7 linked regions of the Coturnix japonica genome follow. The protein of the gene in region 7 binds, or shares a complex with, the protein of the main gene of each other region. Links are inferred from orthologs where the notes say so. Each region holds a gene or a part of one and is shown on either strand. Other genes may lie near its edges.

Region 1 (3,500 bases), on a different chromosome or scaffold from region 7:
ATACTCTCTGTGAGACACAGAGGTTCTCAAACTTCCCAGAAGGTAGCCTGTATCTTGCTATAGAGACTTGGTATAGCAACCTACCTGTCTGTTAGCACAGGCTTCCTCTGCTTTTGTTCAAGATTGCCTTACAGTTCTTTGGCAGCTACAGCAACTTCTTTGGAAGGGTAACAGTTGGAAAGTATTTAATCTATCTTTAGCTGTCTTTTAATGCAATTTAGCAGCTGGAAGCAAGGAGGAGAGCCAGCGTCATGAGACCAGCCAGCTCTCCCCGGACCACCAGCAAGTGCTCCGTGGACCACCAGTGGTCCACAGAATACAGTTTGAGAACCTCTGTTATGGTATGTTCTCCAAAAGGGTTTGCTCATCATATTGGAGAGTGAACATGTAGGACTTCATACAAATGGTAATGCTAAAGCATTCACGATGTTATAAACAGCAAAGCCATCTGAGGCTTTTTCTTATATATAGCTAAGAGAATAACTCAACTAATTTATTCCCTTCATAGCTCATCTCTTAAGTTTGTCTACATAGGGAAATAGCCTGGAATTGTTCCTGCCTAAATTGTATTGGGAAACAGAGGGAACTCGTTAACAACTGCAGTGAAAACAGCCACTCAAGTATCCTGTCCAGTGTAATGGTTGAACATTAAGATTCTTGTCTGGCAGTATCTTCCCCGTGTAGACAAATGCTTATTCGTAAGCTATAATAACATGGAGTATGATGAACATAGCAGTTCTTCTGTGCTGCCATTTACATTCTCTTGTATGCAGTGAAGGAGCTATCAAGCACTCAATATGAGCTGCTTTCATATCTTAAAGATCCCAACTGTATTTCTGGGAGCTTATACTGCTTTTCTTTTTTTCTTCTTTAAAGACCAGCTCATGTTGAGATACTGACTTATGCTTGTAGCAAATATAGTTTTCTGAAGGACTGTGTCCTAGCTGAAGTCTGAACTTGAACCTGATATAGAAATCTTGATGGTTTCTACCTATCTATGGATGGTGAAGCAGCTTAAGCTTTGTGCTCTGAGATTCAAGACCACCTGCAATTGTCAGCTATGAGCCCTGGACTTTGTCTTTGCTGTATGGCTGACAGGTTGTGGTTTTTGCATAGTGTGGCATGTTTTGAAGCAGCATCTTCTGTAGATGTAATTCTATACTAAGAATTGAACCCCAATATTTATGCTTAGCATTGTCTGGAGCATCCTCTGTGGACTGTTAGACAGGGAATAGGCATCACAATGAAAGTAAATTTCCTGGGAAATAGTAGCGCTTCTCAGGCAAGAGATCAGAAATGTCTATTTTGGAAGCCCTCTCAGAATTGGTTTGGTTTTTTGCCTACTTCAGCACTTTAATGTCTGACCTTTCATGTCATTAATAGTTGCATATAAAGTAATTGTTTGTTTGTCATCTTGTTCTAAATTAAACTTGCTGTTCTTTCCAACTAGGAGTTGGTAAAGCGTTAAAGAAGATAAACAGGCTCATAGTCTCAAAAAAGAATAAAGACATTGTTACAATTGCTAATGCAGTATTTGCAAAGAGTGGCTTTAAAATGGAAGTGCCTTTTGTTACAAGGAACAAAGAGGTGTTTCAGTGCAGTGTCAAGAGTGTGGACTTTGAAGACCCAAATACAGCCTGTGATTCCATCAACCAGTGGGTGAAAAATGAAACAAGGGGTGAGTATTAGCCAGTATTTTCTGTGCATGAGTGGCATCTGAGACCTCTCAGATCCGACTGGGAATATTGGAGTGAAATAGAGAGGGAGGAAACTGCCTTGCAGTTGGAAACTATCAATAAGCTGGCAAGTACGATGTGTTTTAGAGTCTGTTTGTCAGTGCCTTAGCAGGTGTACTTGTGTGATTTGCGTGTGTGCCTGTCCCTCTGTGAGATTGAAAAGCTTCTACTGTTAATCATCTGTATTTAATCTGCAGGAAACCCAGGCAGCGTTCTCTTGAAGCTGGGTGTTGTCAGATATGAGGGGAAGAGGGAGTAAAAAAGCTTGAAAGTGGCTCAGTACATCAGACTTGGAAGTAGTCAACAAAAACTCTAGGGCAGTTCAGCTTTTGCTGTAATACCCTAAATTTTTGTGATGCGTCACTGTTATTAGGAGTAATGTTTAGTAGATTTTTAATTCACACTGCCTTGACAGAACTCCTCATGGTTCAAGTGTGCTGACGTCCATTTGTCTAGTTTAGATGTACCATAGACAGAGATGGTGCTTTGCAACATGGCCATAGTCTAATTGATTACATGCTTAGTATCTCATGGAGTTAAAACTAGATGTGAGGAGTATGTTGCTAATGATGTTGGATGTGCCATTTGTGAAACAAGGATGTCAAATTCTTTCTTTACCATGTCACCAGCTTTGCATAGCTATGTTACAAGCTGTGTGTGAAAAGGGGGGAGTGCTTCAGTTGAAACTGTTATCACTGTGACCTCCTTACATTGAATCTTAGATCTGATCACAAGCTGAAAAAGGTAAGGCCCAGTAAGCTGTAACATCAGTTCATAGGTTAGCTAGATATGCTGCTTGTTTTCTAGGTATCCCAAAGGGTTACTTTTTAAAACAAAGCAAAAACTATTGACTGCATGGGTCTCAAATCTTATACAATGAGTAGCTGGCATGTTCACAGACATTCAAATGATTTGAACTAAAACGTGCTTCACTGTCTTTATGGAAACAAATACTTATCTTTTTTTGCTTTCTAGGTATGATTGATCAAGTTGTAGCTCCAGATGATATTGACAGTCTAACCAGGCTGGTTCTAGTGAATGCAGTGTATTTCAAGGGCTTATGGAAATCACGATTTCGACCTGAGAACACAAAGAAACGGCCATTTTATGGAGCTGATGGGAAGACCTACCAAGTTCCCATGTTGTCCCAGTTATCAATCTTCCGTTGCGGTAAGCCCAGTGACTTTCAGTGAATACCTCAGAAGGAGTGGTAAAAATTTTGCTCTTTTCCTTCAAATGAAAGAGTGCATTGACACACTTATTGCAGCTGATAGTGGAGACTGTGTGGTTATGAAAGCATTTTGTACTGGTAAGGTATGGGTAAGGTTGCTATGAAAGGTTGCTCTAGGTCAAGCACTCTAACAAAGTACTTCCCTTATCCTGCTTTTCAATGAAGTGAAAAACATGAAGTACTGAAACTGAGAACCTTGCATATTTCCTAAGCCTTGCAGTAGGAAGAATTTTAAGAGATGAGAATGAAGGAGGGCTGCCAACAGAGACTTGAGGCTTATCTGCTAATGAGCTGTAAATAAAAGATTGGAGTAGAATTAGTGTGTGTCACAGTGTAATAAAGAAATGGAACGTGCACAATCAACAGTGCTGGGGGAGCCAGAGGAGCACGTGTTCTTCAAATTCAAATTGAGTCACAGGACAATAGTTCAGTAGGTTTGGCCTGAGTTCTGTATGAGAAGCTTGGAGCTGATGTATGAGTCTTGATATGACTAACAGTGTACCTCAGCATGTAGGTGTATGGGTACTGGTAAA
Region 2 (4,001 bases), on a different chromosome or scaffold from region 7:
CACATACCAGAACCACTCGTGAGTCTTGAGTGTTCGTATAATTGAAACATAGCAGAAAATGATGATTGCAAGAGGCATTAAGAATCCAAAGATAGCTAAAGAAACATAGTAGTAGAACTGGAAAGAAGATATGCTTTCACAGGTGCTATGCACATCATGGCAGGTGTAAATGCCCAGTTGCTTCACATAATAGCTTTGCTGCATTATGCAGAGTGGGAGCATGTATAAAAAGACGATGGTCCACACAGTGGCACAGACAGCAATGGCATAGGTGCGTTTTGGCAGGCTCTTGTAGGTGAAAGGGTGAACGATGGCCACGTAGCGACTGACACTGATGCATGTGAGCAGCAGAATGGAGCAGTACATGTTGCCATAAAATACCACTGTTGTAGTTCGACACATAATTTCTCCGAAAATCCAGTTGTTCTTGTTGATATGGTATGCTATTTTGAATGGCAGCATGATGCAGAAGAGCAGATCCGAAACAGCCAAGTTTGTGTAGAGTATGGCAGTGCACACAGACCGGATCCTGAAGAGCAGCATCCACAAGATGATAGCGTTAGATGGTACACCCAGTAAAACAGCGCTGAGGTAGACAGTGGGTATTAGCTTGGTGCTCAGAGAACTAGTCAGGTATTCCAACGTGGTGTTGTTCACTTCTGTTAAAGTGGAGTCATTGTACTTCTTCACAGAGCTTTTGTTTTCCTTGGTATGGATTGTCTTTGTCTCCCCTTCTATAACATGAGGTGGGATGTAATCATAGTCTCTTTGTGAAATTCCACGGAAAGTCTTGATAAGAGACACAGTTTTAATTGCAGAATCATTCAGCGAAGACTCTAAAGTTCAAAACAAGAAAAAAAGTTAAAACAGTTAAAATAGGCGAACTAATGGGTTGGGAATATAATTTGCCTTCAAGTGAAAAAACAACCTGTGTTTATAAAGTTTGGTGGTGCTCCCTGTTGCTTGGCTGTTCAACTGCTCATGAACAATCTTTATTTATTTGTAATTTCGAACCCAACTTTGAAAATTCATTGTGAATGTAATGCTAAACAGACTTTTCCTGCTCATGAGGTGCTTTCAGTCATCCTTATCAAAGTTGTCCAACACCAGTTTAAAGGTTACCTTGTATGTAAGCTTTTGCAAGGTGGTAGCAGTATTGGTTATTTGTTATATAAGAAGCAAATTTGGTCTAGACTTGGTAAGAATTTCCAAGCAAACGGCAGTGCTGTCCTTGTCACTTAGTGAATGAAATACATGACTGGAGAAGATGGAAAGAGCACAGGCTGGAAATTTCAAATTTGAAAATAATTCTAAAAATAATTTTGGTCTCGCACACCAAATTAAGATTACGTTCCTGTATTGGATTCTGACTAAGGCAAAACTAAGACCTTTCAGCACCTTGTACGTGAGGAATGATGGTCCCAGAACCTGAATGCGAACATTTACACTGATGTTAGATCAAGCTCACTGGAAGGTGAATAAAATTTCTCATGCACCAGGAATATGTTTTGAATCAGTAAATATCAGTGACTTGTGAGCAAAGCCAGTGATGCTGGTTAACTTCTACTGATGCCTGCTCGTCAGTGCTTGTTGGAGAGCTTTGTAAAGGCATCTACATTTCCTACTGAAGTATGAATGTGTTTCACACATAGTCTGAAAATATTTTATTTTGCAGAATAACTGTTGTAGAATCAACAGCTGCATGAAGAATTCTTGCATTAAAAAAAGAAAGGAAAAAGAAAAAAAGAAAAAAAGAAAAAAAAAAAGCCTTGGCTGTGTTTAATGCCAGAAGGCTTCACGCAAGGCACAGAGCATGGATCTTGAAACTGAAATTTGGAAGCAAACTGAAATTTGAATGAAAACTTGGGGGTGCTTCCAGCTTGAAACAAAACACGGAAAATAGCTTTATTCAGACTCATTGCTGTGAATCTGGCAGTTTTTTGGTAGAGCTTTTAGAAGTCATAATTAGTACACCTCCATCCCTTTTACTAATCTTTGGGGTGATTAATAAAAAAATAATTTCAGATGCCATTTAAAAGTTAGGTGCAAGTATGCATATCTGTTTTTATACAAAATGTAGTTTTTAAAATGTCTTCATTTGGAAGCAGCTGTCGTTTTAGTGAATTAAAAAGCAACTAGACTTACTGTTCAGTTATTTCAGTGATTTTTTTTTGTCACAACAATTCTCAGAAAATTTCCTTCTAATAACGTGGTCTGAGGCTGCAGTTCTGTTGAACGTTTCAAAGTGGAAGGAACAAGACTGTACAGGTTAAAGAGTATCATCTCACTACAGAAACATGAGATATGTTTTTCAGGACGGAAAGAATGATCCCTTAGGTAAAAACCCCTTACTGAAAATGACTGGGAAAGAGGAAGGTAGTCCAAGGTATCACTGAAATGGAATGAAGTTCTGCCTAAAGTGAAACTTGCTGGAGTATAGCAAAATGCAACGGTGTGTGCGCAGCCCATTAAAGCCAGTAAAGCACCAGTGTTATCAGAAAGCAAATGTTATCATCTAAAGTAGAAAGCTGATACAGAAAGGAGGACTGACCTGTTGTAAGAGTTGATGTTAGAGAGAGCAGTCCAGTGAAAACCAGAATCTTCATTGTAGTTTTCTAAATCCAGATACCAAAAAAAAAAAAAAAAAAAAAAAAGGCAGCGCAGTTCTAGTTCATCTCAGAGGCGGGGGGGATTTTCTTCCCTCTGTAAGGCACTAAGGCACAATTGATCTGTCCTCCAGAAGCATCCTGTAGGCATGAGATTTATGGCAAGGAGCTAGTTTGTTCTTTGTCTACTACAGCAAGAGGGTGTGACGTATCCAAATATGCACACATGACTCAGTTTCAGCCTCTGCCCAACACAGAGATTAAATTGCTTTACAGCAGCAGTTTAACTCCTAATTTACCACAGCCCTGAAGGTGATGGCAGTGGAGGGAAAGGGAAGTTCAGCTGGAATTTCTATGTACAAGTGTTTGGGGAAAAAGGTACCTTCTGGAAAACTGTTTACTAAAGGCTCAGACGTCACACCCCTGGACTAGAAATTCTGTACTGCTGAACTCTGTATGCTTCCTGGGGAGAGGCCAGAAGTGGGGAAGAGTGTGGTGATCGTGGTTTAGAAAATGCAGAGGCGAAAGTAAACCTCAGGGATACACATATGCCTTAAGACAGTGTTGCTGTGCTTCAGTTCCTCTGCATCCACCTAACAACCAGCTGTGTCTGCATCTCAGCCCAGCTGTTTGCTCTATTCAGGACATTTTACCCCCTTTTGCAGCCTCTCATAGTTTTACCTCATTTGCTGTTCCGTTGATCCCTTCCTGTTCCTCTGCCTGTGTGGGTGTTTTCTGTTGTTTTTTTAAATTCACTTCCATACTCCCCTCCCACCACTCCCACCTAAGCCAAGAAACAGTGGCTTTCTTCCAGCAGACAAAATTATTGTGAGTTCTGGTCTAGCTTCCAAGCTAGTGGCAAGGCTCAGTATAAACAGGGCTTGGCTCCAGAACAAAATCTGTATCTGTTTTTCTATTTAATGTGCTGAAACTGAACACCAGATAAGAAATTCTTCTCAGTTTCGCAATTCATTGCTATAAATTCAGCCATAGTTTGGGAATTGAGTAAATGCACACTCAAAAATTAACTCCAGCTTTCTACTACGCCTGTGTGCATCCACTGTCATGCTATTGCCTAATACTACTTGACTTTATTTAGATATTTTAGTGTATGTTTACACAGAGGATTGAAACAGAGGTGTTTTTGTGCCATTTTTTACCCTATTTTCTTTGCAATTTCTATGGATAATATATTTCTTGAATTTTTGACCTAGAGTTGGTCTGTATGACAGCAATATCCACTGTGAAGATGGTTCCAGGAGCTGTTTGACTTTTTCTCGCTTTTATTTTCCAATATATTTATGTATGCGTGTATATGTTCCTATATTTTGTTTGAACCAGTACATTGCTGTTTCTGTCATCATCAGACTCTTTTAGGTCTCTCACACTTACTGC
Region 3 (4,205 bases), on a different chromosome or scaffold from region 7:
AATCAGCATTGCATTCATGGAAAATGTGAGGTTGTGCTGACAGCGGTGGAAACGCTGCATGCTGCTGGCTCTGCCCAGAGCTGCTGCCTCTCGTTCTGCAGCAGGAACACGAGCTCAGCCCAGGGCAGGATTCAGCTGCACTAGTTCTCTCTTCACACCTGCTGGTTTGCAGCTGAGCTGCTGGAACAGAGCTGGAATCTCAACCTTGCTACATGCACCTGAGTCCCAAAGTCAGATCAATCAGGCCCTAAAGGCACCATGTGGAGCAGGGCAGGTGCTGCTTGTACCTCCCTCACACCTCTAAAATCCCTCCCTCCCCTTTGTTCCAGTTCTAACTGCTCAGGGTTCAGAGTGATGGAAGCAAAGAGTGCTTTCTCCCAGGAGATACCTATTGCACAATGAGCAGCTTTAAAACCAAACTGTTACCCGACAGGGAAGGGAGCACATGAGATGTTAACAAGCTGTGACAAACTTCTGGCATGAGAATTTTCAAGCAAGCTGTTCTGCATCTAAAGCAATCACTGAAGATCACACAGCATTTGAAAAGTGAAGGATAGAGCAGTGAATAACCTCACCCTGCTCCACTCCAGAGACCCATCTGTAGGAAGCAGGGCTGTGATTTGCACACTATCTGCACCTGATTATGGCTAATTTTTTGCATACAGAGCATGGAAAGGATCCTGGTTGAGGCATGGAAAATATGCGGCCACATGAGTCATGTTGTAATGGTTTATAAATCTTGAGGGAATCACAAAAGCAAAACATCTAACATTGCATCTTCCCTATCCCTGCCAGCGGAACCCCACCTCTCAACACAGGGATGTGAGAATATGGTGAAAGCAAAGGAAATAGGATCATTTTCTCCCTGGAATAGAGGAATCTCATCGAACAGCAGCCAGGCTCAGATTTGCAGCCTCCACAGAAGAGGCCATTCATGAGCCGAAGAAACAGAAATGAACTGCTCTTCAGGTTGCCAAGCCAAATTTACAATTCCTACTGCCTGGGCTCCAGCTCCATCCTTACCTCATGGAGAGGCAGCCCCAACCCAGCGCTCCACAACTGTGCCCTCATTGCTGGGAAGGGAACACAGAGGCAACAGGGAAAGTCCAAGTCCTCTCCCAATGGTGCTGCGTGAGAGCGCAGAACAGCCTCACATCACAAAGAGTAGAAGAAGAGGGGGCCATGGAGCTCTCCAGAGCCATCAGGGTTGGAACACCAGAGCAGTGAGGCTGGAACTGGGTGATCTTTGCAGTCCCTTCTCACTTAAGCCCTCCTATGATTCTACAGCTCTGTGCAGGCAGTTGGTTGTGGCAAACTGCTCTGCTCTCCTGGGGGGCGTTGGGTGGAGGCTGCTCATCCCTGGAAAAAACACAGCTCTGTGTGGGCACAAGTGGCTGCAGTTCACCATTATCTTCCAGAGCACAGAGATTTCCTCAACCCACGTCAGCCCCTGCACTGCAGGAGGGCTCAGCTCACCCAGCTCCTGCCTATCGGCGGAAGCAGCACATCTCCATCAGGTCCGGACCTCACCACTTATCTCTGTGCGTCACAGCACCGGCTGCTGCTTCCTTCAGATGCAAACAGTTCCTCGCCCCGTGGCCTTTAATTAACCTCTGCAGCAAGAGCAAGGAGGGAGGGAAGCAGGATTAGAAATAAAGAAACAGAGCTATGGTGGGCTGAACACAAAATGGGGACTGCAGGGCAGAAACCAAACCCTGAACTGTCCCCAAGGCCATAGCAGAGCTCTGCAAGCCCCAGGAGCTGTGGAGGTTGTGGCCTTCCATGGCTGTGTGTGGGGATGACATCTCCCAAAGGCATTGAAGAAGGGTGGAGAAGGACATCAAGCACTGCACAGTGCTGCTCAGATCCCTCTTGAGCAGAAGGATGCTGTTGGACACAGAGCCCAGAGGAATTTCAGTGCAGTTTACACTCCAAACCAAATTCAAAGTGCGTCAAACATGATTGTTGTTATTTTCAAGAACAGCCCAGAGCAGGGAGGAGACCCAAATGAATCACTTGAGCTCTGACAGATGATCCCTATGGGTTTGGATGCGTGCATCCCCCCAGCTGACACTGCAGCTACATCTCTGCTCGGACCACACTGGAATGCCGTGACAGGATGAGCCCAGTGCTTCCGACTGTTAAGGATTGCAAAGAGGAAACACGTAAGCACAGCCGCTCACACAGCTTTTCCCAGCTGCCTTCCAGCAGTGCAGCTCCTGTAGCAGCATGGGGACCTCCAGGAGCGGGTGGTTGGCACCCCGGCTCACACTGTGCTGTGCTGTGTGGGGACTGTGCCTGGCAGCGCTGGACTACGATGGTGAGTGGGCATTTTTGGGGGGGAAAAACTGCTTCTTAAAGTACAACAGGTTTGGGACTTCTAAAAGATCCCTGAGAACCCTTCTATGAAACGTTATTCTGGGTGCTCCATCCCTGGAGGTGCCCAATGACATGGATGGGGAGGGGCACTGAGCCCATGGCACAGGGATGGAACTGTATGTTCTTTAAGGTCCCTTCCAACCTGAGCCATTCCATGATTCTATGATCTGAAAGCACATGCTCACCGAGATTCGTGCCTGCTCTACTTAAAACAGGAGGTGACGGGATACTTATGGAAGGGAAATTAAAGCCGGCGTAGAATAAAGTAGCAAGAGACAGAATCAGAGGGGTCGAACAGAGTACTTGAAACCAAAACCTTCAGCTAAAAATTAAGCTCCCACAGCCACAGCTTTGCACTGGAGTGGCCCTGGATCTTAGGATCCAGGGATTGTGCCCTGCTCCCCTGGTACTGAGCTCCATAGCAATTGCAAGCAGTGGGAAGCAGAGCACAGCAGAACAGATGTGTCAGTTTGCAGTAAGGCCCCTGATAGACACTGCTGCACACCTAACTCCATCTCTGCTTTTTCTGACACATGAGCATTTTGCAGAATGCTCTCACTGCTCGAAACCAATATAAAATGCAGCACCTTAGAATCTGGTGTTAGCATCATGAACCAGCCTGCTCTGCAAAGCACTCATATTAACACGTGCAGCAAGTAACAGACTGCATTTACACCAACAGATTACTCTCAGAACAGCACCGGCGAGCAGATAACAACAGCAGAGATCACACCATGCCCCCGAGCCATCCCCGGTGAGAAGGCAAGGATAGATAATGTGACATACCTGCTGCTGCACGAGGCTGCTCGCTCCCAGCTGAGCAGTGGGGTCACAGTGCTGCTCATCCCATCCCTCTACAGCCTTGTTTTCCTGCTGGGGCTGCCCTCCAATGGGTTGGCCCTCTGGGTTCTGGCTACCAGGACTGAGAAGCTGACCTCCACCATCTTCCTGATGAACCTGGCTGTAGCAGACCTGCTGCTCATCTCAGTGCTGCCCTTCAAGATATTCTACTATTTCCTTGGGAACAACTGGCCCTTCGGGGAAGGTCTGTGCCGGGTCACCACAGCTTTCTTCTATGGGAATATGTACTGCTCAGTGCTGCTGCTCACGTGCATCAGTGTGGACCGGTACCTGGCAGTGGTGCATCCTTTCTTCTCACGCTCTTTCCGTACCCCTGCCTTTGCTGCCTGGACCTGTGCTGCTGTCTGGCTCTGTGCTGCTGGCATCACTCTGCCCCTGACTCTGCAGCAGCAGTCATACCCCCTGTACAGAGCAGACATCACTCTGTGCCACGATGTTCTCCCTAGGCAGGAGGACGATGGCTATTACTTCTACTACTTCATCTGCCTCATCACCTGTGTTTTCCTTGTTCCTCTGGCAGTGATGCTGTTCAGCTACTGCTCAGTTCTGCAGGCCCTCCTGGGCAGTGGGAAGCGGTACGCCCACTCCATAAAGCTCACAGCTCTCGTGCTGGTCACGCTCATGGCCTTCTATACCCCCAGCAACGTTCTACTCCTCATTCATTACTCCAGCTATCAGTGCAAGCTGTACGGCAGTTTGTACATCAGCTACATGGTGAGCCTGGCCATCAGCACCTGTAACAGCTGTGCTGACCCCTTTGTCTACTACTACGTATCAGAAGATTTCCGGGAGAAGGTGAGGAGCACATTCTTCAATCGCAGCAAAACACCCTCCTTACAAACCTCCAAAGAAACACTCCCTCAGAAAAGCTCCAAGGAATCACTGGTTTAAGCTCCCATCCCAGCTCCCTGCCCCCAAGGCACTCCCACCACACTGTGGGGATAGGACAAAGCACCAGGACTTCA
Region 4 (4,021 bases), on a different chromosome or scaffold from region 7:
GTTATGAAGTTAGGATCTGAAAAATCAGCTGGTTGGGCATCAGCAAAGTAGTATGTTTTCATATTGTTTCTGAAATCATTAAGAATAGAAAAGTCCTTTCGAATATAAAGATCATTGACAGATCTCAGAGTATAACCAAAATTGCGCCTGAAGAGCCGGTGAGTGAGTTTCCGAAAGAGGTTATGTACAGTCATGAGCTCGTATTTAGTGCTGGCATTAATGAAGTCTTCAAAGCCAAGAACAGATAATACTTCCTGCTGAGTTTGACCCTTCAGACCCAGGGAAATCATAGCCATTGCAGTGGAAATACCAACAGGAGCCATGAGAATATTGTCTGAGGAGTTGGCTTTGTCTGCTACACTACGATAAAGGTTGAAGCCAAAGTTTGCATTGAGGATATTAAGACGTTGGATTCTGGTTTTGCCTTGGAAAAGTTCCAGAATATTTCCTTGCTGAACTTCAGAAACTATGTGTGGAGCAGCATCTATAATGTCACTGTAGTCATCTTCCAATATCTTGTCAAGATCTAGATAATCCTCTTCCTCCTCCTCTTCAGGAATCAAGTCATTGGTGATAGTGTTTTCTCTGTGGAACTCCAGTGGTAGGTCTGGCATTTCATAGGTTCCATTTTCGTGTGTATGTGCATCTTTGAGGCTTTCAAAATGGTCACTGAAATCCTTGATTCCACAAAACGTGGAGGTTATGATGACAGCCACAGCAAGCAAACGAAATAGGAACTTCATTTTGAAAACCTGGAAGACAACAAAGTTGGAAGAAAGAGGGTAATTGAATTTTGTCTGTTTCTGTTCCGTAAGTTTAGGTCTTCGGTGGATTCTGTCAAGTCACAAAGTCTGCAGTTACTTTATTCGACAGCATTTATCTGTCTTAAGTAGATAGGTAACCTGTTTTAGTGGTGACCATTCTTGTATACATAATGTCTCCATCCTGTTAGATAATTGGTTGAGTTCCTGCTTAAGTAGTGGTTGACATATTCCAGTGATGACAAATTAATTACCTGAAATACGCTGATGTATTTATGTGTAAAATAGAATTGTTTAAAATGTTTACTGACTGTGTTATTTTAAAAAAAAAAAAAAAAAAAGGAGAATTTCTGGAACAGTGCTGCTGAAATTTGATGGAGGAAAAAAAAAGGAAGTTTGGGCTGTAGACATTTATCTGCACTATGCTATTAGTGGGACAGCAGCGTGTAAAGTATTTAAATGTTCTGGCCTGTTTGTTTTCTTCTGTGTTACTCCATGGGTGTGCTCACTTTTTACAACTGTGGTACATCTGTCTGCCTCTTCCGTTTGGATTCTTGAATCTGCTTCTTACTTAGTTTCTACTTTTATGCAGCACTGCACAATATGCAGAGTTGTTTGTTTTCTTCATTGTGTGAAATCCTCTAAGTTCATGTCTGTAACTGTTCCTCCAGTCTTAGTGTTACCATGATGATAGATTTCTATCTTCACTTACTGTACACATTAAATATACATATTAATATTTGATATACATATATATAAAATAATATTTAATGTACATATTTACATATGTATATGTCAGCAGAACCTGCTTTTTTTTTTCCCAAAAAGGAGCTTGGTCTCTTCTTTGTCTCTGGGCAGTGCATTGCTGTTTGTTTTTGTTTTTTGTCACAACTTCAAAATCAAGAACTGATGTTAGATACATAATTTGAATTTAATCTGTCACCCTTACTCATCTGACAAGAGGTAGGTTTTCACCATAATTCTGACTTGCAGTAATTACAGTAATCTTAAAAAGTTTAATTTCTTCCTGCAGTAATCAAAGACCAATACACGAGCATACAATAACTGTGTCAGGTGACACTGCAAAATGGGTGTCTGAATGCCAGGGTCTTGATTTTTTGACAGTGCTTCTTTAGAAAGTTATTTGGTGATTTTATAAAATCAATTTCAGTTCACAGCACTTGTTTGAGTAAAGGAAAAAAAAACAACAAAAACAACAACAAAAAAAAAAACAACAAAAAAAACCCCACAAAGATTTAAAATGTAGGAAAAAATGTTGAATATGATGCAAGTAAAATTTTACTTAGAGGTTGAGTAAAATGTTTTGCAAATTAGCAAATAGACCAAGAAGCTGTAGAAGTAAAATGCATAGATGCACAAATTTGTAAAGCATTGCTTGCAGCACTTTTCAGGCTCTTAACAGGATCGAAGTAACTAAGCTAAGACTTAATTTTCTGAACTCTCCTCTCAAAGTAATTAGCTTGAAACCTTAAAAAAAGGGTGATTATCCCATGTAAAAATGAATTGTCTTTACAATGATGAAAGGTCACTAAAAGGTGCATTTTGAAAGATTTACATTGTGATTAAAGGACTTGAGTCAGGAGAACTCATTTCTTCATAAATTCATCTTTCTTTTATTACTTCCCCCACCCCCAGAAAAGAAAAAGGTGATTTTTTTATTTTTTTTTTCTCTCTCGACTGGCATTCTCTGTCCATTAACCACTGAAAAATATTTTCTGCTTTTGCCATACAAGAATTTGCTGTCAGTACTGTTCCCAACTTTAAATTCTCACCTTCAGTAAAGTTTAATTGGTGCTCATCTCCACCTACACAAACAAAGCATTCCTATACTATGCAGTATATGTGCATTTGTGTCAGATTTACCTAAAATAACGGATGTGAATGAGGCTTACCTTTAAGTCCCACTGTGGAAAAGATGTGTTGAATAGCTCAAGTGAGGGGAATGGCAAGTTTTAAATCTGAACTTTGATGCTAGTTTTTTGTGTATCTCCCAAAGTAAACATTCTCTAAACCAAACACTGCTAAACTTACTTCGTCAGCCAAAATCCCTCCCTTGCCTAGTGATCTCTGCTGGATTGCTTGGTTTGTTGTTTGTTGAACTTCTTTTATGGCTTTGCAGGTACTTATTTGCTCATATTTGAGGAAAATCTTTGAGCAAAAATTGGTGTATGTAAAGTTTCACAGTCAAGTATGCACATAAACTTGGCTGTTTAAGACTAGCAGAAACCATGTCACCACTGTTTTGTGCTGAGATGATGTTATGTTACTATTTGTATGTCACTTCAAATGTGGTTGGGGCCACTGGGTCTGTGAGGCTGGCTACTTCTGTCACTGTGCGACTGCTGCAGACATTTGCTGTCAGCCCAGCAGTGCTGTTCACCAGCTAGGACTCAGGTTAATTTTACTGCAGTATAGGAATTTTTAGTTATTTTTTTTAATGGCAGACTGATCTAAGATAAATATGTTCTGAATTAGCTTTATGTAAGGTTTTACTGAAGTACTTTGCATTTTCATACCACAGCAGAATTATTTTGCAGTTAGAAAAAATCTCTTCAGTATAGATTAGATAGATGAAGTCTACAGTTATAATATCTGGTCGTATTAGATAAAGCTCACAGTTCAGTAAAGCTTTCCTTTAATTATTATTATTATTTTTAATGTTGTCTATGCTGCTAACAATTTTAGAGTAAAAGACTGTCAGATTTTCAGTGTAGATTTGTAAGAATTCCATGTCATCTTGTTATTTGAGAGTATAAACTGCTCCAGTGGTAGCAGCTGTCTGTGAAAAGGCTATCCGACAACTTGAATAGATGTGCTGAAAATGATGTTCTTTTACTTGCTTGTTTAGATAGTAAATTCTCCAGGACTGATGTCACTGTATGCGTGGGTGAAAACAATAAAAGATCCCCAATTGGAGCCTCAGTGTATTTCCACAAATCCAATAAACAATAGCAACCAGAAGTATGTTTGACTAATATTTTGAGTTTGAGTTCCTCTGTGCTAAAATAAAACTTCATGAAGCTGTCTTTAGCTCACAGTTTAAAGGACTGTGTGGTCTCTTCCTCTCTACAATTGATGTATGCTAATATAAGGTGTTCTCTTTGGATTACTGTATCAGTATGTTGGTATTCCTGTGTGAAACCACATAAAGTTAGCTTTGTCATCTTGAATTTATGCTGTCTTAAGAAAAAATAGAGTTTTCTTCAGTATAACATTAGTAATATTGTATTAGTTTCTTC
Region 5 (4,150 bases), on a different chromosome or scaffold from region 7:
GATGCTTTGTTCTACACAGAGCTGTTTTGTAATTTCATTTCATGTCAGTTTTCGCATGTAAGAAGCTACTGAGAATACTGCACCATGAAAGGAAAAGTAGAGAGCAAAAAAATACAACAGCTTCAACCAATCTTTGACATCACCCTACATCACCTGAGTACCAGGGAAAAAAATAAAATAAATCAGAAGTGTTTCTATATACTTGTTTATAAACAAGCAATATTTATGTTCATCTCCCAGTGGTTGTTTTTATGAGGTGGAAACTAAACATTGGTTAAGCCAGTTAAAGATGTGCCACTGGATAACCATTTATATTGAGTTCCGGACATTACTGACTGCGGTGCTGCACCACTGGCTTACAACAAAAACAGTGCTCCTTGTACCTCCCCTCTGTATAACCGGCATCTAGAATCCATATTTTTCAGTGGCATGTAAATTAAGTAAAGATAGAATGAGATGTGCAAGTGAGACATGTTCATAAGGAAGCTAATCTTGTAGGAGAGATGACAGTGACTACCTTTTGTAACAACACACACCATAATTTTTAAAATATCCTTTGTCAAATCTCTCCATTTATATAGTATTCATTTACTGTATTACATAAATGACTCAGTAGCAGTTTTAACACAGCTTACTTAAGTACCATTTTCTTGCAAACTGTTCCTTTTTGCTTTCCTTTCTCCTTAGTTTTTGCTACAAGTGCTGGCTCCAAGCCATGGCAACATTTCTCTTTTCAGTCACCTGTTGCCATACAGGAAAGCGTGGGCCAGTTCAGACCTCAGCCAGCATGCTGCTTGGCTTTTCAGAGGCAGCATCTGAAGAGCTCAGGAGCAAGTGCCCAGCACCTGCTACAAAGCTGCCTTCTTCCTCCTGTCTGCAGGTCCACCTGAGGCCAACAAGGTGGGAACTGTGGATGTTGAGTGAACAAGGAGAGAGCAGGGAAGAAGCTGCAGGTGCAAGGACAGAGCGAGCCTAGGAACAGAGCAATGCAGATGAAAGGGGATCTAAGTACACTGTGGTGAAAACAGGGCTGCTGTGGGGAAATGACACTGCTGAGGGAGTGGGTGAAATGAGAGAGAAGCCATGCTCAGTTGCTGGGCTTTATTGCTTCCATTGTGCATCAAATAATTTGGGCTTTTCTCAGCCTCTTATCATACAGTAACTACATTCTTCATTGTTTCCTAAGGAAGCAGCAAATGAATGATGCACTTTAGGATGTCCTTTAGAGAAGACTACACTGCAGAAAGCAGGAAAACAAGCTTGGATGTTTCTGGAAACTGGAATAAGAGCATTCAGCAGTACAGTCTTCTTCCAGCATTAACTTCTGTAGTTTGTTATTACCTCCCACGCATGCATTCCCCCCATTTCTTTCAACAAGGACACTTCCGTTCTCTGCCAGCATAAACACACTTGTGGTCTCCTTATTCCCTCATGTCCCTGTGACAATAAGTTGTATAGCAGCACTAGGTTTCTCCCTCTGGTCCTTTCCTCCCAGCACAAGCACCAGCTCACTCCTCTTTCAGCCTTTGTTTCAGAAGGCCTGCTCCTAGCTGCAGACCCTCTGTTCCAGCTCCCTCAGCAGGAGCGCTGTGCTGAAATAAGTGTTACACAGAACCTTGCAGAAGAATCCTTTGCTATCTGCAAGTGCTTAACCTAGCTCTGCACCACTGCACCTCGGCTAGAACCCACAAGGCTGGGCATGTCTTCTGCACTCTTTCCCTGCACGCTACACCACCAAGTCGGGTTTTGAACCAGATGGGTCGGAAGTCTCATCCGGCAGAGTATACGCTGTCATCGGTGTTATTTCCAGATGAACAAAGAGGAAACTCATCTAACTGGAGAGCCTGCTCTGAGCTGGCTGGTGCCGGCACACCTCCCCGGACTGGTGCTACCTGCAGACTCGGCAGACACGCTGCCTCTCGGAGCTGTCAACGCGCTTCTGGGGCACCCAACTCCGCATCCCACCGCCCATCACAGCTTTTCGCCACTACCTGCTACCTCTCGGCCACCCCGTCAGCCGCCGGGTGGCTGTAAACCGTTCTTTGTTTTCGAACACCCGGCATCATCTGTATTCCAGAGCTGTAGCATTCACTTAAACAAGACAAAACAAAAAACAAAGAAACCCACCACCGATCAACACTTATCTGGGCAAACCGCAGCAATCAACGCCGCACGAGCACCCCCACCGCAGCGCTTCAGGGCTCCGAAGCGAGCAGGCTCTCCCCCCAAACTCAGGCCGGCGGCAGAGCCGAGCCGAGCCCCCGCCCGACCCCTGGCAGCCCCCGCCGCGTCGAGACGAACCCGCGACTCACCGGCTCGGACGGCGGCGGCGGGGGAAGGCAACAGCGGGCAGCTGAGGACGGCCAGGGCGCAGAGCAGCGCGAGCAGCCCCATGGCTGCCGGAGCCCCGCGGTTCGTCCGTCCCGGCCACGCCGGGAAGCGAGTGAGAGCCGGGAGGAGCCGGGAGGAGCCGAGCCTGGCCGCCCCTCGGCCGCTGCTGGGAGAGGCGGGGGCGCCTTCCTGCCGGGCGGGGGCGGGACGGTCCCTAGTGGGAGGGATGGGTGGTGCCGGGTTCGCCGCTGGGGCTGGGGGTTGTGGTGCTGCTGGCTTGTAGTATCCCACGGGTAAGGAGAAGTGCGGAACGAGGGATTTTGTCCGAAGGTTTGGGCAGGCTGGAAGCACAAAACAACCCAACGCTATTCCTCGACCGCGTGGCTCTCACGCCCGCTTTGTTCCGTCTGGGCGGGGCTGCTCCCAGTGTTGCGGCACCTGTGCGGGTGGAGGGCCGGTGTGCTGGCGCCCCGACGGAGCTGTAGAGGTAGACGGCTTTGCCGCTATCGTTTAGGCTGTGTTTGCTGAGAATGCTATTCCACTCCACCGGTAGTTTGAGTGTATTTTATTCCTGAGGTATGTGCTGCAGTCATAAGCATTGCACGTCCCGTGATTTGCTGGGCTATGCAGCCCTGCCCTCAACTATATACACGTGTGTTTAGAGCAGTACAGGAATAATGGGAGGAGGCCTCTGTTCAGAACTGGATCAGTTACAGTTGTGTTATTACTGCAGAAACACTGATACTTAACTGAGAATAACAAGGATGGGAAGTCAACTCTTGACAGCAGGAGGATCCAGTGCTAATCTTATCTTGCTCGGCAGTGCACAATTCTGGCCACTGCTCTGCATTATCACACTGTTAGGCTGACTGCTGTTTGCACAAAGCAAGCAGTGTGATAGCCGTACTGCTGGCCGACCCTTCTGCCACCAGGTAAGAGGTGGTTGCTAGTTAGCAAGAGACATATCCATAGCCAAACCTCTGTCATCCTTGGACACAGTGGGGAGCCCACAGAAGATACCTTTTGCTTAATCACAAACTTAGCTTCTATCAATTTAGGAAACACTTCAATTAGAGGTTAGTTATTTTTTTTTTTCTGTTTTGGAAGATGGAGTGAAACCTTGGGCACTTCTGTGGTCTTGCTGCTGTATAAGAATATGTGAAGGTAGTGTAACAGTAGAGGCTTTCAATAGCCAATGTTATCTTTTTGGTGTATGCACAAGCAGAAGCTATTTGAGGTCTGAATTCATCTACCATGCTGCAGTTTCCATAAAGCTGCGATAGCTGAGAGAGGTGCCTTCAAAAGATAGAGAATGAGTTACAGTATTTACTGGTGGGATGTCTGTGTGGGAAAAACTCACTGTGCCATCCATATAAACACCTATTATTTTAGCAGATTCATTTCACTGAATGAAATTCAGGCACCCTGTGAACACGCAGAGCTCTGTGTATGTGCTTTCTGTCAAAGGCACTCCATTTACATAGCCTGTATTTATAAGACTCAAATGTGGTTTTAATCTTTGTAAATGTGCACAGCAGAGTGACATTGATGACCTAAATGTAGATGGCCTTGAAAAGAATATGTATAATCAAATATGGAACTAACTCTAACACACCATATATAGTAAAAACAGGCCACAAACCTAGTTCAATTCCTTGCAGATGTGGGAGCATTTTAAGAATTCTGTTTTACTGAGAAATGCAAAAGGAAACATCTTTCCAAGGGTTCAAACTGGAGATTAGAGAGGTGACAGATTAAGGTCCACAGTGGGACTATGTCCTCAAGTTGTGAGGACTTACATGCTTTGAACACTCTGGTT
Region 6 (4,292 bases), about 20 Mb from region 7:
TGTGGGTGCAGAGAAAGTAATAATAGGCTTGAAGGAAAACAAGGAAAATAACATATTTAAACAGCCAGAAGCCAGTGCCCATACACAGGTCTTTGTTCCCAATGCTGTGTGGTATTAGCTAGGAAGAACAGCATGTAATATAGGCAACAGCCTTAAAGGTCATTCACTGAAAAGCAAACTGTATATTCTACTGGAAAATTTACTGATTTTGTATTAAATGCGATAACAAATAGGTACCCATATTTCAATAACAATAGAAGGCAGGGGCTGCTTAAGGAGAAAAACAAAGCTGAAGTACATAGTTCTGATGCCAGTGTATTCTCATCAAAAGGGAGATATCACAGAATCACACCACAGCCAATTTGCATTTTTATTTGTTTTCTAATACATGAGAACTTACTAATCAGATCTTGTTACTAATTATCTTGATACCGGATAACTCATTACATTCCTGTGCTGTATGATACTGTTCTTTTCTCCATGTCGTCCTCAGGACACTATGTCAAAGAAAAATGTTAGCAAAGTTATGAAGTAAGCCATGATGCCCCAATGATAACGAGATAGGAGACTCAGCTTAATGCCAGCCTACTGGTCCTAGAGTTGATCAATGATCAAAACACCCACAACATCTTTTTTGCTGGAAAAAAATTATCCCCACAAATTGGTTACTGCCAGTCATATCCCAGCCCCATCACTCAGAGTTTTGGACTTCTCAGTATCAGGTATGATGTATTTCATTATGCATTCAGCATAATAATAAATAAAACCCAACCAGTAACTAGCAGATACCTCTGGGCAATACTAAATAAATTTCTCAGCTCTCTGGTGATTTTTCACTGAAACAGTAGCTGTTAGGAGAACAAAACAAATGATGTAGTTCACACTGAAGTAATGTTAAATCAACATTTCTGTTGTTTATTAGATTCCTGGTGTATGCTCTGTCATTTGGCCAGGAATAAAATATCTGTGGGGCAAGATGGAAGGTCTGTGGCTATTTGACTCCTGAAAGTCTTTGGCAAAGATTTGTATTTCTCTTCTTCAGGTACAGTATAGTTTAAGTTGGGGTTTTGCTTGCCTGTTTGTTTTTAATCTATTATATATCATAATTCTTGATTAGGAAAGTACGCACAAAGACATTGCAGTATTGTGATAATTGTATTGTGACAATAAAAACGTTTATGAATACAATCACTTGAAGAACTACTGTGTTTCACTGTTTTACTCTTGTTTGAAATATCCCTCCTGTGCATACTGAACTTTACCTTTTCCCAGGTGTATGGCAATTTGGTAATCACAGCCTGAAACTGATTATCAGCTGAGGCAAGTGTCAGCTCAGCTGTGGGAGCACAGGTGAGAGTAATTTAGCTGTGCTCCCGGAAGGGGTGGAGCTTGACTCCACCTCCTCTAGATCTCATTTAAGGGCTGACCACCACTAAGGCGGCATCTCTTGGAAGTTGCTCCTTGGTGGAGATTGTCTCAGTGCTTCCCAGCAGACTGAAGGCTTCTACATGGGTGAGTTTTTCCTGTTGATAACTTTTTAGATATTTATTACCACCTTTCTTGTACCATTACCATCTTTACTTTATTGTCACTGTGCACCAGGCTACATCTGCAGCATTCTTCAAGACAATGATTGACAGGATGTCTGACTTTGAATTTCAGTTTGATTTCCAGGAGCTGCTTCTAGATTACAGACACAGAGACTGTCAGAACATCTCTCTAGCTCTTCCTACTTCACTTCCCCAGTAAAAGCAATGTGCTTCTACTTCTAGAAATCTATGAATGTTTTGGACAATTTCAGTCATAAGCCATTTTGATGTGGGGAAAAAAAAGTAGGTTTACACTGTCCATCAGAAACGGACATAAGCAATGCATTCTTTATTAGGGCTGCTTGCTTTCCAACACATACTTCATGTCACTCATTCTGTCTGGGTAGCTGGTTTTGATACTTAAGAGATTTCTCCTATTAAAGTGGATCTGAATGAGTTTGGTATGAGTAATGTTGAGAATGAATGAGAAATGAGAAATACTTCTCAAACTTGTTTCACAGTATCTTCAACAGCATGTAAACCACTAGATGTTTGGATTAAAAAGAAGGAAAATGGGAGAGCTTTCTTAGCAGCTGATTTACAGGTTGTGGTTGCTTTATGCTGTGTAGAGTGTAAGCAACACAACAAAGTGCAGAAGAAGACACCTTGGTAAAGAGACGCCTTTTGAGTCTGAAGATAACATTTGTGTTACAACCCATATTAAAAATGGAATAGATTCCTATTTTCATTCTATAGGGCAGTGAGGTTGACAGCAGTGAAAAAGGGAGTCATCCCTCTGCAGAACATGGACCAGGAAAATATCTGTTTTGAAATAAATATTTGGGCCTCACTTTCTAAGATTTCTATTTCTGTAACATTTTTGTTTGCATTTACTGTACTACATACTTATGATTTTGGGTTTGAGTTCTTTTAAGTCTGATGAATTGCAAATGAAACTCAGAGCTATTCCAATCTCAGATGACTCACTTTTTGGCCGGATTTTGAATGCTGTAACATGTAGAGTCTGCTTAGTGCAATAATTCACTTCCTGAATTAAAAAGAAATGAAGAAAAAATAAGGACAAAATCAAAATTGGGTAAACATACATATGTAATTATAGTACTTGATTCTCTTCTAAAAACATTCCTTTTTTTGTAGCTGTGTTGCTATACGAACTAAGACACTACAGATAAAAACTTTCATTTAATTCAGTATAGCAAAATGAAGGAACAAACTGACTCAGAAGCAGTGTAAAGGGTCTGATTTGCCTCATATTTCCATTGCTTTTAGCAGCGAAGTCTATGCTTATGTAATTTCTCTTTTACTGACATTGATCTCCCAAATAGTTCATCCCAAGATCCCCCAGAAATTCCAGCTCTGTTTTCTTTCCAGAACACTCAAGTTGGATATGACATGTATGCTTTGGATGGAGGTGGAATTTGGGTGGAGAAAGATGCTGAAAGGTCAAGAGAAGTTTAAGGGGAAAACAGCCTTTCTAAACACATCAGTATTCATGGAGTTTGGCAATACTGAACTAACCACTGAGGCCTAAAGTTTAGATCTCATTTCTGTGGCTAAAACTGAGGAAGTATTTTTGGCACACTGGATTTAATGGGTGTTCCAGTCTTTCTTGAAGAATTACTTCAAAAACATAATTTAAAATTCTTTCTTTTCTCATTGTATATATGCTGGCCTTTGAGCTCAGTCATATATCTGAAACAGAATCAGTTAACCTCTGTTAATACTGATGGCATTACATGGATAGGTGCCTAATTTTCATTATGCTTTCTTACCGATTTGCCAATTCTATTCCTCATTACATTTTAAATGGCAGCCAGCAAACAAGTTCACTCCCACATACTCACTAGTCACCTCAGTGACTAGCATAGCTCAAGAGCTGTAAGATACTTTGACATTTCCCTGGAAAGCAGCAATGTATTTGAAACCTGTCCTATCTCCAGGTGCCTATCATCAGCAGTGCTGAGCTGCATAGGTTTTACAAGTGGGTCACAGCAAAGTTAGCTGACAAAGCATTTTATTCTCTCCTTTGAGACATTTCACTGCCTTTCCAATGCTCTCCTGGGGTCCAAATTATCCATGTAGATTTGGGAACACAAAGGTCTCACCTATAACCTGATAGAGACACAAGAGCAACAGAGCCATGGCAGTTTTCATTCAATTCCTACTAAACAAGATCAAGCTGAACGAATACAACATCCTCACTACAAATGATAGCCTAGAAATATCAGGGCAATGTCAAAGAGGAATGATGCTGAAGCTGTCAGAAACTGAAAAGAAGATGAACAGTTTCAATATGGAAAATTCTAAATGAGTACTTTTTTTCTGTTATCATGAGGTAGTCCAGTACTGGGAGAGGCTGCCCTGAAAGGCTGCGGAATCTCCATTTTTTGGAGATCTCCATCCCATCTTTGCCTCTTGATCCTTGTGTAATTTGCTTACTGTTTAGCACGATGTTCTTGAAGTTCTGTTTCATTTTTTTAATGGAGAATATGCAGAGGTTACACTAGCAAGGATTGCTGAATATGGACTTAATTCTTATCTTCTCTCTTTGCGGAGATCTTTACTGTCTTAGATAGCAGTTTAAGCTGTCCATATCCAGAAATATAGAAAACCTGGCCTAGAAATATAATTTTGAAAATGTCAATTATAATGATGTGCCGCAAGAATCAACATGTGAACAACAAAAGTCTAATTTCTGAGGTGATAGTTAAGTAAGTTACTGTGGTCTTAAAACTATGACTC
Region 7 (4,136 bases):
GCTGGAGAAAAGCTGGGATGTAGTGCTGAGACATACCACATACTGGAATGGGACACTCCTCCCGTTCCACTGTTGGGTCTCGTGTGTAGCACCACGGACCTCTTGAGTTGTTGTCTGGGTTCCTGCAGTAGTTCTCAATGAGGTTGGGATAATTGGAGGCGTTGAATCTGTGAGGAAAGGGTGGTTAGGCTATGAAGGAAAGGCACCCTGGAGAACACTGCAGGGGAAAGCAAGAGATGAACTTACTTAGGTATATGTGGATATTTGCTTGTCCACACTTGACATTCAATGCCCGATTTGGTGTAGCTAATTGTCCCCCGATAGTTCTGGCCCAGATTAACAGCACAGTTACCTGTCAAAATCCCCAAACAGGTGAGCCTGGGTCAGTGGAATGGATGTTGTATTTTTCAGTGTCAGAAGTACCACAGATTCCTTTAACTTTGTGGATGTGTGTGAGCCTGCACAACCATGGGCATTCTTTTTGTAAGATGGGAAGAGCACATCACTTAAACTTGCTCTGCCTTATCAGATGGAGCTCTCCCCGAAGCTCTGTGCTTTGCTTTGGCTATAAGGCACAGGCTAGAGAAGTTGGCCTCTGAGAGGCCAGTCTAACCTGGAGCTATACTCAAGACCACATTACTTTGTCACAGGGATAAGGGTATCTACCCTATGCCATTTCAATGGAGGAGTAAGGCAGTTTGTAAAATAGATAATGGAGAAATAAAGAACAAGAAAGGCATTTAAAACTCCCCTTGTTATTTTTCTTTCTTGCCAACTTTAGATTATTTTTGTTTTTCCTTCCAAAATCTGCATGAAGCAAATTCCTGGCACTCAACGTATCTGGGATCTTAAGATCTACATTCACTTCTTACCTTCTAGACAAGCATCCAGAGTTGTCCTAGGCATCTTTGTGCCCTGACATACTTGCAAAATAAGAAGAAAGAAGCACGTTACATGAAAGAATCTAAACAAGCATCATGGTTTGAACCAGATTATCATCTAGGGACAAAACACAAGTGTTTTTCTTGGTGAGTGAGCTCTTTTAAGAGGGTAGGGAGCCATTCCTCCAGGATGGGTTATGGAGGAACTTGAAGCAACGTACCTTGGTATTTTGCCCAAAATGCATCCTGTAAAAGCAGAGAAACAGAAAAATCACCGTAAATATCGAGGAGTAGAGATCAGCAGCACATCAGTTTCAGCTCAAAGAGGCTTGAGGCACCTGCGCTCAAAATTTGTTTGCTGTCAGCTGTTCTTTCAGTGTCTGGGCCTGTGGCTGTTGAAATGTGTGTGGCACCATAGTGAACTAGTAGATGAAGATGAAATTCTTATCTAATGGGGTTGAGGGAAGGCTCTGTTTTATTTCATTTCACGCTTAAAATAGAGAGGGAGGAAAAAGAATTTGAGATTTGTGGTGCGTTTCCAAGAGTGGCTTTAGGAGGGAATTTCCCTAAGGATATCTTGTCTCCCCCTGGGTGACAGGCACAATAGCTTTCCATCTATAGCACAAAATTGTCTGTTATGATCCCAGCCCCTGGCTGTCTGTGACCCACGTGTCTCACGGCAGGAGCTGGCTGCAGGACACCGATGTGGCCTGTGACGTACCGTGTCAACAGTGGATTCAAGGGCTTCAAAGGCCTCTTCGTAATTGCATGTCTCCTCCAGGCACTCTCGCTCCAGGTTTCCTTTCATCATCTCTTCCAGAAATCCCTTGTTGGCACGTCGTGGACGCTTGAGCAGTGACAGTGCCCGCCCCTTTTCCAGGAAAACTACCGAGTCAGAACACTGCCAGTCAAAGGGATGCTCATGGTGGGAGGGTCCCTGTGTCTCGAAGTTTTCACTCAGCTGGTGTAATGCTCCCACAGCCCAGCCTCCCCAGCTCACCGTACAGATAAGGGAAGCTTTGTCAAGGACCTGTGAGGTCCACAGCTGATGGTCAGAGCAGCCTCACTATAATTCATCTGTCAGTATTGGCTTCGTCCAGGTCACAGAAGTGACAAGAATCTTCTGCTATCCTTGGCAAATCTGCTCTGCTAGTTTGTTTGTTTGCTTGGAGCTTGCTACTGCTGTCTGTCAACCACTGAATTTCTATCTTGCCAATTTCAGACTACTGCAATAGGCATAGGTAAAGTCAATCTTCATCTTCACAGGCCCTGATCTGAGACCTGTGACAGGTCTTGCCCCACACAGCAGTGGGATAGAAAGGACCCGAACTCATATTAAAAACAAGTAGATGAAGTAGAGGCTCTAGTAAAAGAAAAAGGAGCAGTAAGCAGGAAGGCTGCGTACTGTGTATGACCTAAACTTCAGATAAAGGATGGCTGGAGAGGCAATGCAGAGTTGCAGCCAGTGGGGTGAGCTGAGGAACTAACAAGCCCCACAGCTGTGCTACACGGGGTCTTGTTCTGAGCCACATTCTCCTCCACCATCAGTCAGGTGACCTGTGAAATCCACTGGGCTGTTGTCACAGCTTTCCCTGCCAGCTGCTGGGTGCTGCTGCATCCTCCTGGGCAGGGAAGCAAAATACTCACTCTCCTCTCTGCACCCTTTCACTCCCAGTTACAGGCTTTTAGAATCTCCTTCTGCACTACCTGGAAAACCCTCTACAGGCTTTACCACCCGAAGGAATTAAGCCCATCCTCCTTCCTTAATCACCCAGTACTGCCCATCTCCCTGTGTTCTTACCTCCATCGTGGCTCAAGGTGAGGTGCAGGAGGCTGAAAAGGAGCAGGCCCTGCAGCATAGTGGCTTTGCTATGCACCATGCTGCACAGCCCTGGCTGCAGAGGAAATGCAAAGGGAGCAGAATAAGTGGAGTCACAGCCCTGCTGGGTTAATATTAAACCAGAATGAAGAAACAGGACTCCAGAGGTCATGGTGTGTCAGGGACAGCAGGACTGAGGCTCCTCTTATCCCTTCTCTCTTGGCATCTTTCCCTCCCTCTGGGGCATTTTCATTTTCATACTTAATTAGTGGAAACCAAACTGAATGTCTTTGGACACTCCGCCACACTCCAGATTAAAATTAGCATCCCAGTGTATAACATGGCATGAGGATTAAGAGGATACGTTTGTACCAGGGCACAGGGAGAGCTTGGGCTGGTAGAGAGGTCCCTGCCAGCTGCCCCAACCCAAGCAGCTCGCTGCTGCTCTCTGTGTCACCCTGCTCTCCTGCAGCTCTTGGCATGACTGCTGCGTCCCCATCATCAGGGCTTGGTTCCCTGCTGCAAAATCTTCTTGGATGCTGTACTCTAGCAGCCTCACATGTAGCAAGACTTGGAGATCTCCTTAGCCATTCCCAGTCCTCCTCCTGTTTTTAGTTGCAAGTTCCATCCCTTTCCCCCATAGAGTCCAGCTGTCTTCTCTCCCCACAGTTATCAGCAGGTTCAGTCTGTTATTTGGCACGAGAACACACAATTTAAGTTTCTTCCATCTCCCTCACCCATGCCAAGTAGCAGAAGGGGTGCTGGCTGCAGTCTCTGTGGATTTTCAGTTTTCCTCCCAGTTAGGTCAGTAATGCCATCCTCAGTGTATACTTCCCGTGGCATTATAATTCCCAGCGGGGTGGAGGAGGGTGAAGTAGTTTGAAGTCTGGTCTCTCCCTTCTCTTCCCACGCCAGTGGAACACATTAAAGTACATCCAGAAGGAAACAGAAGCTGACAAGCAAGCAGCAAGCACACCAGAAACAGGCAGAAAAACAAAGGCTTGTGGGAACAGGAAGGCAAGAGTTATATGGGTGCCACAACATCAGCTAACAAGCAAGTCAAGAGTTGAACTACCACAGCTGCGAATGCTGTAGTGATTCCTACATGCAGAAAGTTGGAATGGTGAGAGAACAGCAGAAAACAGGGCAGGGTTGGAGTAGGCTCAGAGGCTGCTACAGGGCATAAATGTGGTTTCTCCCAGCAGAGAGCATGTTTTGTTCTGTGCCTCTGTGCAGCAGATACAACTGTAATGTTTGTCTCCATAGAAGGAGTGCAAATATTAGCATTAGGGTGGCTCAGGAATGACTCTGTGGCCGTTGGTACAAAGAGCAGTTGCAGAGGCTCCCGCCCTCATCTAACAGGAGTATCCCTACTCTCGCCCACCACACCTGGATTCTGGAAAGACACCTTTGGGAAAAGCCAGAATGACCTGTGT

What was found.
Region 1: the proteins of F2 (region 7) and SERPINE2 are in contact, whole or in part, in a crystal structure (PDB 4DY7), measured with the Homo sapiens proteins. The link is inferred for Coturnix japonica from reciprocal best matches to the Homo sapiens genes F2 and SERPINE2. Residues at the interface, in NP_000497.1 of Homo sapiens: His406, Tyr410, Pro412, Trp413, Trp455, Arg456, Glu457, Asn458, Leu459, Glu509, Thr510, Ile542, Asp562, Ala563, Cys564, Glu565, Trp590, Gly591, Glu592, Gly593, Cys594; in NP_006207.1 of Homo sapiens: Val225, Arg288, Ser355, Ala356, Thr358, Thr359, Ala360, Leu362, Ile363, Ala364, Arg365, Ser366, Ser367.
Region 2: the proteins of F2 (region 7) and F2RL2 are in contact, whole or in part, in a crystal structure (PDB 2PUX), measured with the Mus musculus proteins. The link is inferred for Coturnix japonica from reciprocal best matches to the Homo sapiens genes F2 and F2RL2. Residues at the interface, in NP_034298.1 of Mus musculus: Phe379, Gln384, Glu385, Leu386, Leu420, Arg422, Arg428, Thr429, Arg430, Tyr431, Arg433, Lys437, Ile438, Ser439, Met440, Lys467, Pro470; in NP_034300.3 of Mus musculus: Thr46, Phe47, Glu48, Glu49, Phe50, Pro51, Asp54, Ile55, Glu56.
Region 3: the proteins of F2 (region 7) and F2RL3 are in contact, whole or in part, in a crystal structure (PDB 2PV9), measured with the Mus musculus proteins. The link is inferred for Coturnix japonica from reciprocal best matches to the Homo sapiens genes F2 and F2RL3. Residues at the interface, in NP_034298.1 of Mus musculus: Glu385, Leu386, Leu387, Cys388, His403, Tyr407, Trp410, Asp411, Arg428, Arg453, Glu454, Asn455, Leu456, Trp501, Gly502, Asn503, Trp508, Thr510, Gln516, Arg538, Ile539, Asp559, Ala560, Cys561, Glu562, Gly563, Asp564, Val585, Ser586, Trp587; in NP_032001.2 of Mus musculus: Asp54, Lys55, Pro56, Asn57, Pro58, Arg59, Gly60, Tyr61, Pro62, Gly63, Lys64, Cys66, Asn68, Asp69, Ser70.
Region 4: the proteins of F2 (region 7) and SERPIND1 are in contact, whole or in part, in a crystal structure (PDB 1JMO), measured with the Homo sapiens proteins. The link is inferred for Coturnix japonica from reciprocal best matches to the Homo sapiens genes F2 and SERPIND1. Residues at the interface, in NP_000497.1 of Homo sapiens: Lys384, Ser385, Pro386, Gln387, Leu389, Leu390, Cys391, His406, Cys407, Tyr410, Pro412, Trp413, Asp414, Lys415, Leu423, Arg425, Ser430, Thr432, Arg433, Tyr434, Lys440, Ile441, Ser442, Met443, Asn458, Leu459, Lys470, Trp511, Ala513, Asn514; in NP_000176.2 of Homo sapiens: Glu75, Asp76, Asp77, Asp78, Tyr79, Leu80, Leu82, Ile85, Phe86, Asp89, Asp91, Val305, Glu306, Met307, Thr308, His309, Gln327, Asp343, His361, Lys362, Arg388, Thr457, Val458, Gly459, Phe460, Met461, Pro462, Leu463, Ser464, Thr465.
Region 5: the proteins of F2 (region 7) and F2R are in contact, whole or in part, in a crystal structure (PDB 3LU9), measured with the Homo sapiens proteins. The link is inferred for Coturnix japonica from reciprocal best matches to the Homo sapiens genes F2 and F2R. Residues at the interface, in NP_000497.1 of Homo sapiens: Phe382, Arg383, Pro386, Gln387, Glu388, Leu389, Leu390, Cys391, His406, Cys407, Tyr410, Trp413, Lys415, Leu423, Arg425, Arg431, Thr432, Arg433, Tyr434, Ile441, Met443, Glu457, Asn458, Leu459, Asn506, Thr510, Lys517, Gly518, Gln519, Arg541; in NP_001983.2 of Homo sapiens: Ala33, Thr34, Asn35, Thr37, Leu38, Asp39, Pro40, Arg41, Ser42, Phe43, Leu44, Leu45, Arg46, Asn47, Pro48, Asp50, Lys51, Tyr52, Glu53, Pro54, Phe55, Trp56.
Region 6: the proteins of F2 (region 7) and alpha-1-antitrypsin-like are in contact, whole or in part, in a crystal structure (PDB 3B9F), measured with the Homo sapiens proteins. The link is inferred for Coturnix japonica from reciprocal best matches to the Homo sapiens genes F2 and SERPINA5. Residues at the interface, in NP_000497.1 of Homo sapiens: Arg383, Pro386, Glu388, Leu389, Leu390, Cys391, His406, Cys407, Tyr410, Pro412, Trp413, Asp414, Lys415, Trp455, Glu457, Asn458, Leu459, Asn506, Arg541, Ile542, Asp562, Ala563, Cys564, Glu565, Gly566, Asp567, Val588, Ser589, Trp590, Gly591; in NP_000615.3 of Homo sapiens: Gln241, Lys295, Lys296, Arg297, Thr368, Ile369, Phe370, Thr371, Phe372, Arg373, Ser374, Ala375, Arg376, Leu377, Asn378.

The regions. Positions count from the first base shown.
Region 1 is NC_029524.1:6,887,642-6,891,141, reverse strand, and holds part of SERPINE2 (glia-derived nexin), read left to right. Parts: intron 1-221; coding exon 222-341; intron 342-1,450; coding exon 1,451-1,678; intron 1,679-2,711; coding exon 2,712-2,906; intron 2,907-3,500. UniProt on the Homo sapiens protein: Serine protease inhibitor with activity toward thrombin, trypsin, and urokinase. Promotes neurite extension by inhibiting thrombin. Binds heparin.
Region 2 is NC_029547.1:21,497,022-21,501,022, reverse strand, and holds the start of F2RL2 (proteinase-activated receptor 3), read right to left. Parts: upstream 2,801-4,001; 5' UTR 2,607-2,800; coding exon 2,552-2,606; intron 837-2,551; coding exon 1-836. UniProt on the Homo sapiens protein: Receptor for activated thrombin coupled to G proteins that stimulate phosphoinositide hydrolysis.
Region 3 is NC_029543.1:3,308,490-3,312,694, reverse strand, and holds the start of F2RL3 (proteinase-activated receptor 4), read left to right. Parts: upstream 1-1,405; 5' UTR 1,406-2,229; coding exon 2,230-2,320; intron 2,321-3,061; coding exon 3,062-4,131; 3' UTR 4,132-4,205. UniProt on the Homo sapiens protein: Receptor for activated thrombin or trypsin coupled to G proteins that stimulate phosphoinositide hydrolysis. May play a role in platelets activation.
Region 4 is NC_029530.1:84,899-88,919, forward strand, and holds the start of SERPIND1 (heparin cofactor 2), read right to left. Parts: upstream 2,801-4,021; 5' UTR 2,675-2,800; intron 753-2,674; 5' UTR 744-752; coding exon 1-743. UniProt on the Homo sapiens protein: Thrombin inhibitor activated by the glycosaminoglycans, heparin or dermatan sulfate. In the presence of the latter, HC-II becomes the predominant thrombin inhibitor in place of antithrombin III (AT-III).
Region 5 is NC_029547.1:21,461,770-21,465,919, forward strand, and holds the start of F2R (proteinase-activated receptor 1), read right to left. Parts: upstream 2,801-4,150; 5' UTR 2,395-2,800; coding exon 2,313-2,394; intron 1-2,312. UniProt on the Homo sapiens protein: High affinity receptor that binds the activated thrombin, leading to calcium release from intracellular stores.
Region 6 is NC_029520.1:41,334,713-41,339,004, reverse strand, and holds the start of alpha-1-antitrypsin-like, read left to right. Parts: upstream 1-1,492; 5' UTR 1,493-1,512; intron 1,513-4,292. UniProt on the Homo sapiens protein: Heparin-dependent serine protease inhibitor acting in body fluids and secretions. Inactivates serine proteases by binding irreversibly to their serine activation site. Involved in the regulation of intravascular and extravascular proteolytic activities.
Region 7 is NC_029520.1:20,933,990-20,938,125, forward strand, and holds the start of F2 (prothrombin), read right to left. Parts: upstream 2,801-4,136; 5' UTR 2,762-2,800; coding exon 2,683-2,761; intron 1,767-2,682; coding exon 1,603-1,766; intron 1,128-1,602; coding exon 1,103-1,127; intron 924-1,102; coding exon 873-923; intron 353-872; coding exon 247-352; intron 168-246; coding exon 37-167; intron 1-36. UniProt on the Homo sapiens protein: Thrombin, which cleaves bonds after Arg and Lys, converts fibrinogen to fibrin and activates factors V, VII, VIII, XIII, and, in complex with thrombomodulin, protein C. Functions in blood homeostasis, inflammation and wound healing.